Saccharomyces cerevisiae S288C: one gene and its partner. The protein of the gene in region 2 binds, or shares a complex with, the protein of the main gene of each other region. Each region holds a gene or a part of one and is shown on either strand. Other genes may lie near its edges. A codon is read from its position in the direction of its gene.

Evidence for each region. The genes of interacting proteins can lie anywhere in the genome.
Region 1: the proteins of STE20 (region 2) and BEM1 are in contact, whole or in part, in an NMR structure (PDB 2RQW), measured with the Saccharomyces cerevisiae proteins. Residues at the interface, in NP_011856.1 of Saccharomyces cerevisiae: Asn467 (codon at 1,922), Gly468 (codon at 1,919), Lys469 (codon at 1,916), Phe470 (codon at 1,913), Ile471 (codon at 1,910), Pro472 (codon at 1,907), Ser473 (codon at 1,904), Arg474 (codon at 1,901), Pro475 (codon at 1,898), Ala476 (codon at 1,895), Pro477 (codon at 1,892), Lys478 (codon at 1,889), Pro479 (codon at 1,886), Pro480 (codon at 1,883), Ser481 (codon at 1,880); in NP_009759.3 of Saccharomyces cerevisiae: Tyr164 (codon at 3,231), Phe166 (codon at 3,237), Glu169 (codon at 3,246), Lys170 (codon at 3,249), Ala171 (codon at 3,252), Asp172 (codon at 3,255), His188 (codon at 3,303), Glu191 (codon at 3,312), Trp192 (codon at 3,315), Ile194 (codon at 3,321), Pro204 (codon at 3,351), Leu206 (codon at 3,357), Pro208 (codon at 3,363), Gly210 (codon at 3,369), Phe211 (codon at 3,372), Val239 (codon at 3,456), Gln240 (codon at 3,459), Lys243 (codon at 3,468), Ser244 (codon at 3,471).

Annotation. Positions count from the first base shown.
Region 1 is NC_001134.8:618,131-623,027, forward strand, and holds BEM1 (phosphatidylinositol-3-phosphate-binding protein BEM1), read left to right. Parts: upstream 1-2,741; coding exon 2,742-4,397; downstream 4,398-4,897. Other genes in the region: TAF5 (chromatin modification protein), read right to left, coding at 1-393; KTR4 (putative mannosyltransferase), read left to right, coding at 779-2,173; YBR200W-A (uncharacterized protein), read left to right, coding at 4,853-4,897.
Region 2 is NC_001140.6:94,618-100,437, forward strand, and holds STE20 (mitogen-activated protein kinase kinase kinase kinase STE20), read right to left. Parts: upstream 3,321-5,820; coding exon 501-3,320; downstream 1-500. Other genes in the region: SHU1 (Shu1p), read right to left, coding at 3,726-4,178; YHL005C (uncharacterized protein), read right to left, coding at 4,211-4,603; mitochondrial 37S ribosomal protein uS2m MRP4, read left to right, coding at 4,602-5,786. UniProt on the Saccharomyces cerevisiae protein: MAP4K component of the MAPK pathway required for the mating pheromone response, haploid invasive growth and diploid pseudohyphal development. Links the pheromone response G-protein beta gamma subunits to downstream signaling components.

The DNA of each region.
Region 1 (4,897 bases), on a different chromosome or scaffold from region 2:
TCTCTTGGATGACAAATTAGTTGGATTGCTTATGGGTTTAGCTGTCTTCCCGGGGTTCGGAGGAATTGATGATTGTTCAGGAAATTTACCTGTTTTAGTATTTGCTGGTGATTGTTTGTTTTGAGGTGTTAGTGTACGTCCACTCTCGGCTCTCAGCATGGCCTCTGTACGGTGGTATCCCTTTTTATTCAGGTACTCTAGGACAATTCTATTCAAGTCTGACGCCGAAAACGGACCATTGGACCTCCCCTGCTGTTGAGACTGGCCTTGACTCTGTTGCTGTGGCTGCTGGCCGGAATTGGCGCCAGCAGCATTATTAGTTCGTTGATTCTTTACTGGTTGTGGCTGATGCGTGCCATTTTGATTCTGATTCGTACTTTGCTTCTGTGACATTCTTATTTTTCAAGTATCTCAACTTGAACCCGGAGTTTCTCGTATCTTTTCTCCTTCTCTTTTCCTACCCTTATGCCTGCTTTATTGCTCTTTCTGCCACTTTGTAGACTTCATTTGAAATCTTGAAACTTTTTTGCTTTTGAACAATTCATCTGAACCCGTAAAAGATGATATTTACAGCTACTTTTACCCGGCTAAGGGGAGAATTCCATTCAACGGAACGAGCTCTATAAGACGTTCTCTAACTGCATGTAGTGAAATATTTTGAACCATTTGATATGCAGATACTTTCACGGTGTTGCACGGCTGTATAATATACAATAGGCCGTTACAGCAGAACACAATTTTTAGTTTAGACCCAACAAGGTGAACCATACGAACTGATATGAGGTTTCTTTCAAAAAGGATACTGAAACCTGTACTTTCAGTGATCATTCTAATATCGATTGCCGTAACCGTTGTTCTTTACTTTTTAACGGCGAATGAGAACTATTTGCAAGCAGTCAAGGATAGTGCCAAGTCCCAGTATGCTTCTCTCCGGGAGAGCTACAAAAGTATTACAGGTAAAACTGAAAGCGCTGATGAACTTCCTGATCATGATGCTGAGGTGTTAGATAGCATAATGGACAGGCTACACGAGCCCCTTTATGAAAAGGACACTTTTGACCCGAATGAAGTCCTTGCTGAAAATAAACAGTTGTACGAGGAGTTTTTACTTCAAGAAATTTCTGAGCCAAAGGTGGACAATTTGGTACGTAGCGGGGATCCGTTAGCCGGCAAGGCAAAAGGAACTATTTTGAGTTTGGTGAGAAATTCTGATTTAGAGGATATAATTTCTTCTATTCAACAGCTAGAAGAGGAGTACAATAAGAATTTTGGATATCCCTATACCTTCCTTAACGATGAGGAATTTACTGACGAATTCAAAGATGGAATAAAAAGTATTCTTCCTAAGGACCGTGTAGTAGAATTTGGCACTATTGGTCCAGATAACTGGAATATGCCTGATAGCATAGATAGGGAGAGATACGACCAAGAAATGGACAAAATGAGTAAAGAGAACATTCAGTATGCAGAGGTGGAATCCTATCATAACATGTGTCGTTTCTATTCTAAAGAATTTTACCATCATCCTCTGCTATCTAAATATAAATATGTGTGGAGATTAGAGCCAAACGTGAATTTCTATTGCAAAATTAACTATGACGTTTTCCAATTTATGAACAAGAATGACAAGATTTATGGGTTTGTTTTGAACCTCTATGATAGTCCGCAAACCATCGAAACGCTATGGACTTCAACTATGGATTTTGTCGAGGAACACCCAAACTATTTGAACGTCAACGGAGCCTTCGCATGGCTAAAAGATAACTCTCAAAATCCAAAAAATTATGATTATACTCAAGGGTATTCAACTTGTCATTTCTGGACCAATTTTGAAATAGTCGATTTAGACTTTTTGAGGTCAGAACCTTATGAAAAATATATGCAATATCTTGAAGAAAAGGGAGGATTCTACTATGAAAGGTGGGGTGATGCCCCTGTAAGAAGTTTGGCACTTGCTTTATTTGCGGATAAGTCAAGCATCCATTGGTTCAGGGATATAGGTTATCACCATACTCCGTACACGAACTGTCCAACTTGTCCAGCAGATTCAGATAGGTGTAATGGAAATTGTGTACCAGGCAAATTCACTCCTTGGAGTGATCTAGACAACCAAAATTGCCAGGCAACCTGGATAAGACACTCTATGTCTGAGGAAGAGTTAGAAATGTATTGAAGACATTAGCTTTGAGAATTTGTGCCGCTGCTTTCGAGAACGGCATCACATCTGGGGTTTTATGATTTAATTTAGGACGCACATAGATAGATATATATTATGGAATTAAGAAAAGTTTATAATGTAGCAACCTAAAAATGTTACAGGTGAACATTCATGGAAAATGAAATGTTTCTCAGCCAGTAGATAGTATTGTTGAAGGTATTATTGGTTTGAGAAAGCTACTCCTCAAAAATGTCACTTGATAATATGGAATTATAATGTCGTTATATTTTCAATCATTTCAATACAATATGGTAAACCGAAATCCAAAAACTTTACAATATCTCTTATCTATTGTTATTCGACATTCTTCCCGGGCCTTAACGGCTTCTTAACTAATATTACCCTAAACGGACAAATGGCGAAGGGCCCCATTCATTTACGAACAGGAAAAAAAGAAAGTGACAATACAGCCATAATTTGATGTACCATCTTAATCAGCATATGTTTTCACTAATATACTAAACCCATATGGATGCACGTTGAAAGCACTGTGTGAAAAGAAATTGTCAAGAAAGCCATATAAATGCTGAAAAACTTCAAACTCTCAAAAAGAGATAGTAATGGGTCGAAGGGCAGAATTACATCCGCAGATATTTCCACACCTTCTCATGATAATGGGAGTGTTATAAAGCATATTAAGACAGTACCAGTGAGGTACCTTTCTTCATCTTCCACCCCAGTGAAAAGCCAACGGGACTCTTCACCAAAAAACAGACATAATTCTAAAGATATTACTTCTCCAGAGAAAGTTATAAAAGCCAAATACAGTTATCAGGCACAAACTTCAAAGGAACTATCTTTCATGGAAGGTGAATTTTTTTATGTATCTGGAGATGAGAAGGATTGGTATAAAGCTTCAAATCCTTCTACTGGAAAAGAGGGTGTTGTCCCCAAAACCTATTTTGAAGTGTTTGATAGAACTAAACCTTCCTCTGTGAATGGATCCAATAGTTCAAGTCGGAAGGTTACAAATGATTCATTAAACATGGGATCGTTATACGCCATTGTTTTATATGACTTTAAGGCAGAAAAAGCTGATGAGTTGACAACTTATGTGGGAGAGAATTTGTTTATTTGCGCCCACCATAACTGTGAATGGTTCATTGCTAAGCCAATTGGTCGACTTGGAGGGCCCGGCCTTGTTCCTGTTGGGTTTGTTAGCATCATAGATATTGCCACGGGGTACGCAACAGGTAACGACGTAATAGAAGACATCAAGTCAGTTAACCTACCAACTGTTCAAGAATGGAAAAGCAACATTGCAAGATACAAAGCTAGTAATATTAGCCTTGGTTCTGTGGAGCAGCAGCAGCAGCAATCCATTACAAAACCTCAGAACAAAAGCGCAAAGCTGGTTGACGGTGAATTATTAGTGAAAGCATCCGTTGAATCCTTTGGGTTAGAAGATGAGAAGTATTGGTTTTTGGTTTGCTGTGAATTATCTAACGGTAAGACGAGGCAACTGAAAAGATACTATCAAGATTTCTACGATCTGCAGGTTCAACTTTTGGATGCGTTCCCAGCAGAGGCCGGTAAGTTGAGGGATGCAGGTGGACAATGGTCCAAACGTATAATGCCCTATATCCCTGGACCCGTTCCATACGTTACCAATAGCATAACAAAAAAAAGAAAGGAGGACTTGAATATATATGTGGCAGACCTAGTGAATCTTCCCGATTATATATCTCGCTCAGAAATGGTGCATTCCTTATTCGTTGTTTTGAATAATGGTTTCGACAGAGAATTTGAAAGAGACGAAAATCAAAACAATATTAAAACATTACAAGAAAACGATACAGCAACCTTTGCAACAGCATCTCAAACTTCTAATTTTGCCTCAACTAACCAAGACAACACTTTAACTGGCGAAGACTTGAAGTTAAACAAGAAACTCTCAGATTTATCTTTATCGGGCTCCAAGCAGGCTCCAGCCCAATCAACTTCTGGATTGAAAACTACTAAAATTAAATTTTATTACAAAGACGATATTTTTGCTTTAATGCTGAAGGGTGACACAACCTATAAAGAACTTCGTAGTAAAATCGCTCCAAGGATTGATACAGATAATTTTAAATTACAAACCAAATTATTTGATGGTAGCGGGGAGGAAATTAAGACTGATTCACAAGTCAGTAACATAATCCAAGCCAAACTGAAAATTTCCGTTCACGATATTTGAATCTAGTGTTAGAAGACGAAGCATTTTTCTTCTTTACTTGGCAGATGCACATAGGTTGAACATTTTAATCAACTTTATGATGATTTGCGAGAGTAATAAGATTCTCCCGAACAGTAATAATATTAAGGTATCCAATTCTTCCGAAACAGCGTGATTTGTAATAAAAATAAATAAGGACATATATGTATATAGAAAGTTGCTTAAACTTTTTAGACCACTTGGAAATATTTTTTATTTATATTTTTCTTCAAATGTAAAGTTGGGTACCTAAGCTTAAATTCACCTGAAAATGAATTATATGAAAGATTTTACACCACATGTAAAAAAAAACGTACAAAAAGCCAAATATTTCCACTCAATCATAATGCATGAATTATAGGTATTTTAAGTTATATTGCTGACGTAAAATTCAGAAGAGACTACAAGAAAAATTCTGAACATATTTATTCTTAAATATGCTTTTGTGCTTCCATATGTGTCAAAGGATAATGTGGCTCCCT
Region 2 (5,820 bases):
CGAGAGAGGATGTTATATCGGTAGGAATTTCTCGTATATGTGGGAAATAAGAAACAAGCGTAATTCTCTCAGCTGAACAAGAACTGACTCCCATGGTATTTTTTTTTTTCTACTTCTTTTCTTTTCCCTGAATTTGCGGGATAATATAGTTCGTGCACTAAGGACAATATTACGGATATTTCCAAAATTGGATAATACCTCTCCTTCGTTACATAGAACGCAGACAGATGTTCGTGTAATGGTACCCGACACTCGATGAGACTTTGTTATTTTTATACGCCTGAAATTAGGAAGAATTTGAGTTGGTTTCAATATTCCTCAGTTTTAAGCAAAACTGTTGTCGTGATTTATTTAAATTTCGTTAATGAAGTTGTGAATTAGAGTGGGATGTGTTATAAAATGTCCAAATATACACGATAAGATATATGAAAAGAATTTTTATGCCAGTCACAACTGTGTATATACTTTGTCGATAATAAGGTGTACCCTGCTTGCTACGTTTACTTTTGTTTATCATCTTCAGTTACGTCCAAATTTACGGTTTCTTTGCTATCGTTATTGTCGTCACAATTGTTTGTCTTATTAATATGCTCGTTGTCGTTATCGTCGTCATTATCTTCATCAGCATCCATGTTCTCAGCTACTTTCTTCAATCTTGCTAACTTGACTAGCGGGGCCAATGAGGAATTGGCTTCAGCTATCTCCGTGATATATTCATCATGAAGCAATTCCGTAGCGCTTGCTCTATCTTCGGGCTCCACACATAAACACCAATCAAGGAATTTTTTCAAGCTTGACGATAGATTCTCGGGTTCCTTTAACTTGGGTGTACCATTTGTAGCAATTAAATACAGTGCTCTTAGCGGGGTTTCATTTAAATATGGAGGCTCCCCCTCGATCATTTCAATGATCATGATACCCAACGACCAGATATCTACTTTTGGGCCATATTCTTTCCTAGAAACCACTTCAGGCGCCATCCAATAAGGCGTTCCCACCATAGTAGTTCTTTTCAAGTTCAATTCATTGATTTGAGCGCAAAAACCGAAATCCGTTAACTTAATATCCCCTTCCATGGACAATAGGATGTTATCGGATTTGATATCTCTGTGAAGAACACCTTTAGAATGTAAAAATTCCAACCCACTCAAAGTTTCTCTACAAACGGCACCAATTTGACCTTCTGTCAAAATACAATGGGTGACCACATCAGTTAAGGAGCCACCTTCCATGTATTCCATAATGACCCAAAGGTCGCCTTTTAAAACGTAAGAATCAATGAAATTAACTATATTAGGGTGTTTGCTACCCTTCATGACCAGAATCTCATTGATGATTAGCTCCTTTTTTGGTTGCTTTTCGAGATTCATTTGCTTAATGGCCACTGAGACATTCGTACCTATTTCATAAGCAGTATAAACACCACCTGATGCACCTTGACCAATTTTTACTAAATTGGCATATTTTGTACTTGGGTCACCGTCTGAGCAAATTTCGTTCAATTTGGCATATAGTTGTTTTTTACGTCTTTCCCTTTCCTCTCTCTTTTTCTCATTTAATTCTTTAGACAAGCTTCTTGCTTGAGCTGGCTTCGAAGTAGGTGTCGTTACCGTCTCTTGCGCCGGCGCTTTTGGCGATTGAGCAACTTGCTGTGGTGTGTGAGCTGTGGAGATGATTGGAGACGTTTTGGATTTGGTTGGAGGTATTGGTGGTAGTGGCTGCTCCTCTTTTTTTAAAGTGGCATTTCTTGATATTGAGGACCTGTTTGGGCTGGTCCTGTTCGGAGTTGTAGGTGCATGAGTCTGCTTCAAGGGCGAAACATTGGCGGCAGAATTCATGACGGGTGATTTTATAATTGGAGCTGAAGCGGACGCAGAAGATGGGGGCTTAGGAGCCGGTCTACTTGGTATGAATTTCCCGTTTGCTGAACTAGAATCTGTATTTAAGGTTGGAGACATGACGTGATTGGACATTGGTGTACCTGTTCTGGAACCGTAATTGTGCGAATCACTTGTCGACGGAGGAAATTTATTGAATGAGTTTGCAGGCGGTGTTGAAACTTGAGGACTTCCCGGCAATCCTGTGGTTGTGTTGAAAGTCTTGAACATTTTATCTTCACCGTTTGTTTCCGTGACATCCTGATAGAATTTGACAATATCCATGACTGCTTGCATGTTTTGCTGTTGTTCTCTTTTGGAAATACCACTAGAAGTCAACAATTTTTCCCATTCCTCCGGCAAACCTGTGTACTCACCAGTCTTGGAGTCCACGCCCACATGGTGGATATGCTTGGCATTGTATGGCGTAGATATCCTCAAAGCGGTGGTTATAGAAGATGAGGAAGAATTATTGGACGACGATGAGGCCCTTTTATCATCCTGAGAATTTCTCTTTATATTCTGTACAAAGGACGTAAAGACATCTTTCATTCTTAGTGTACCACTATTTGAACCGCTTTTCCTTTTTTTCGAAGAGGAAGAATAATACGATTTTTCTGTTTGCTTTTTAGGTGGAGAGGAGTTTTTTAAAGGATTTTTCGAAGGAAAGCTTTTTTTCACAGAAACCGGTTTACTTTTTGCTTCAGGCTTGGACGGTTTAACTTTTGGTTTATGTTGCTTATGCTTAGGGTTCGAAAGCGAATGGGAAGCTGAATTGATCTGTCTTGGCGTGGTTGTCATCGATGGTTTAGAGATAACGGGAGTGGACACTGGTGTAGCCCTTCGTATATCAGTGGAGCTCTTATTCGAGTTTACTGTGGAAGATGCAACTGGCTGCTGGTGCTTCACTGTCGCGTTATTTTCTATAGTTTCTGTAGAATCTGTTAACGACAGTTTTGATAGTAAAGTGTCATTAAACTGGTGATCTGACTCGGACGCATTTATGGTAGAAAATGTGTTGTCAGCAGAATGATCCGGGGTTATATTGCTGGTATTTATGTTTGGAGTGACTGCTTCTAGAGATTTGGTTTCATCGATGTTAGAATGAGGACTCATGGATGAAGACATTCCACTGATGACAGAGGAGGAAGATACTCGGGTAAATTGAATAGGATCATCTAGTGAAACGACATTATTGTCATCATCATTGGTTGTCTCCGCGTTCTTCGCAGGATCCATGGATTTGTATCCACCAGCTTCATGGGCAGCATTAGTGCCTTTTTGTAAGGCATTGACGTTCAAAGTTCCAGTGGTCCTTGGTAATCGTAATCCATCGCCGCCATCGCCATTGCCGCCCATGGCCCTTTCATTGTCATTGCTGATACCGTTATCAAGACTGTCCTTGTCTGGTAGTTCCGATACAGCAGATGGATCATTGCTCATTTCTTGTATTAGTCGAGGATCTTGTGGGATATTTAGGATGGGGTGTGAGGCAGTGAAGGGAAGAAGTTTGGGTTGCTTGCTACCTCGCTCTAATTGTACGTACGGATGTATGTCTTTAAGAAAGTATGTAAGTGTGTGTAGTATGTGAGTATCTATGTAAGCATGCGTTGCTAATGCGAATTTACGGATGCCTCTTTTTGGTTTCGTATTTTTCCTCTCTGGCCAGGTGACTTTCTGAATTTTTCAGCTGCCAAAAGCGGTAGACTTTCGAATTCCCTCTCTTGGCCGTGTTTCGGGCCACGAGGCGAAAATTTTTTTTTTTTAATCGAAAAAAAAAGGAAAAAAAGATTAACGTTTCTTTTTCGTTCTATCGTCTTCTACGATATCGCATGTAACACAATGCAGCTATCTGATAATATGGTCCCAGAATCGCAATAGCCGGGCAGGCACGCTACTAGAAGGCGGTTCTGGATAGAATTCAACTTTAGATGGCAGACTGAGGCACTGCCGTAACACAAGGCTAAGTAGCCGCAGCTGTTGCGGTCCATCTTGTGTCGCGGTGAGATCCCACAATCCATAGACGAGTACATTAGAGTATTGCGGACCATTCGCCTGCGCTTGCATCCGGGTGAGGTACATGTATAAGTACTTTACCCGGCCCAAAAAAACTACGGATACCCGCTCCCGGCTTGCCACGTGACCTGCCACAGTGTTCGTAGTCACGTGCTCCTTCAGTCCTCCTAACTCTACGTACTTCCTGGCAGTGTCTCCAAGGACTATCACCAGTACGTTTGGGCTTGACTGATCCAGGCTCCAATCGCTTTCTACTAGCTGTTGCAACCGCTCTTCAAACTGCATATTGTATCCTGCTGCTGCTGTTGTTGCACCCGTTATTGCACCTGAGCATTAATATATGCGTATATGTATCTATCTATGTATATGTGTATGTGTAATATGTATACGTTTATGTTAATGCATAAACTGTAATGAAACGAATACTCACCCGCTTGCTCTCTCTCACGTATAACACACGCATACTGCCCTATTTTCCTGTTTATCTCGGTAAGAAAAGGCCGTGCCGGGTCAGAAAAGAGTGCAAGAAAAAAATCAATTCGGTAAGTGAATCCGAGAGATGAAATTTGTATGTCGTAGGTCACTGCTATATTTGATGGTAAATAATAATCAGTTCTGGCAAGTGTACATACGCTCGAGAGCCTGATTATCGCGGGGCACAAATACAGGTGATTCGAGAAATAAAAAGTGAGAAACGACTCTTTTCTCATGCAGAGACACGTTTTTGCGAGGAATTTCAGACGTCTTTCCTTATTGAGGAACCCTTCCCTTACCAAAAGGTTTCAGTCGTCAGCATCCGGTGCGGCCAACACCCCTAACAATAACGATGAGGTGATGCTGTTGCAACAGAAACTTTTGTATGATGAAATTAGATCAGAATTGAAGTCTCTATCTCAGGTACCAGAAGATGAAATATTACCTGAGTTGAAAAAGTCATTAGAGCAAGACAAACTCTCTGACAAAGAACAGCAGCTGGAGGCTGAATTGAGTGACTTTTTCAGAAATTATGCTCTGTTGAACAAGTTGTTTGACAGCAAGACATTAGATGGACAATCTTCTACAACGACAGCAGCAGCCACGCCAACCAAGCCTTACCCTAACCTTATACCTTCGGCCAATGACAAACCATATTCCTCTCAAGAACTTTTCTTGCGTCAACTAAACCATTCCATGCGTACCGCTAAATTGGGTGCCACTATTTCGAAGGTTTACTATCCTCATAAGGACATTTTCTATCCGCCCCTCCCAGAAAACATTACTGTTGAGAGCTTAATGTCTGCTGGTGTTCACTTGGGCCAGTCTACCTCACTTTGGAGGTCTTCCACACAATCCTACATATACGGTGAATATAAAGGTATTCACATAATAGATCTAAACCAAACTTTGTCCTATTTGAAGAGAGCCGCCAAGGTAGTAGAGGGCGTTTCGGAATCCGGTGGCATTATCCTATTTCTGGGTACAAGACAAGGCCAGAAAAGAGGGCTCGAGGAAGCTGCTAAGAAGACACATGGTTATTATGTGTCTACCAGATGGATCCCGGGTACTTTGACGAATTCTACAGAAATTTCAGGTATCTGGGAGAAGCAGGAAATCGACTCTAATGACAATCCCACCGAAAGAGCGTTATCACCGAATGAAACATCAAAGCAGGTTAAGCCTGACTTGCTGGTCGTATTAAATCCCACAGAAAATAGAAACGCTTTGTTAGAAGCAATTAAATCAAGGGTCCCAACTATCGCAATCATCGATACTGACTCCGAACCTTCTTTGGTGACCTACCCTATCCCAGGTAACGATGATTCATTGAGATCTGTCAATTTCTTACTAGGAGTCTTGGCGAGAGCTGGCCAAAGAGGCTTGCAAAATCGCTTGGCCAGAAATAACGAAAAATGAACACTTTTATTTTCTTTTGGCTTGTTAACCTAAA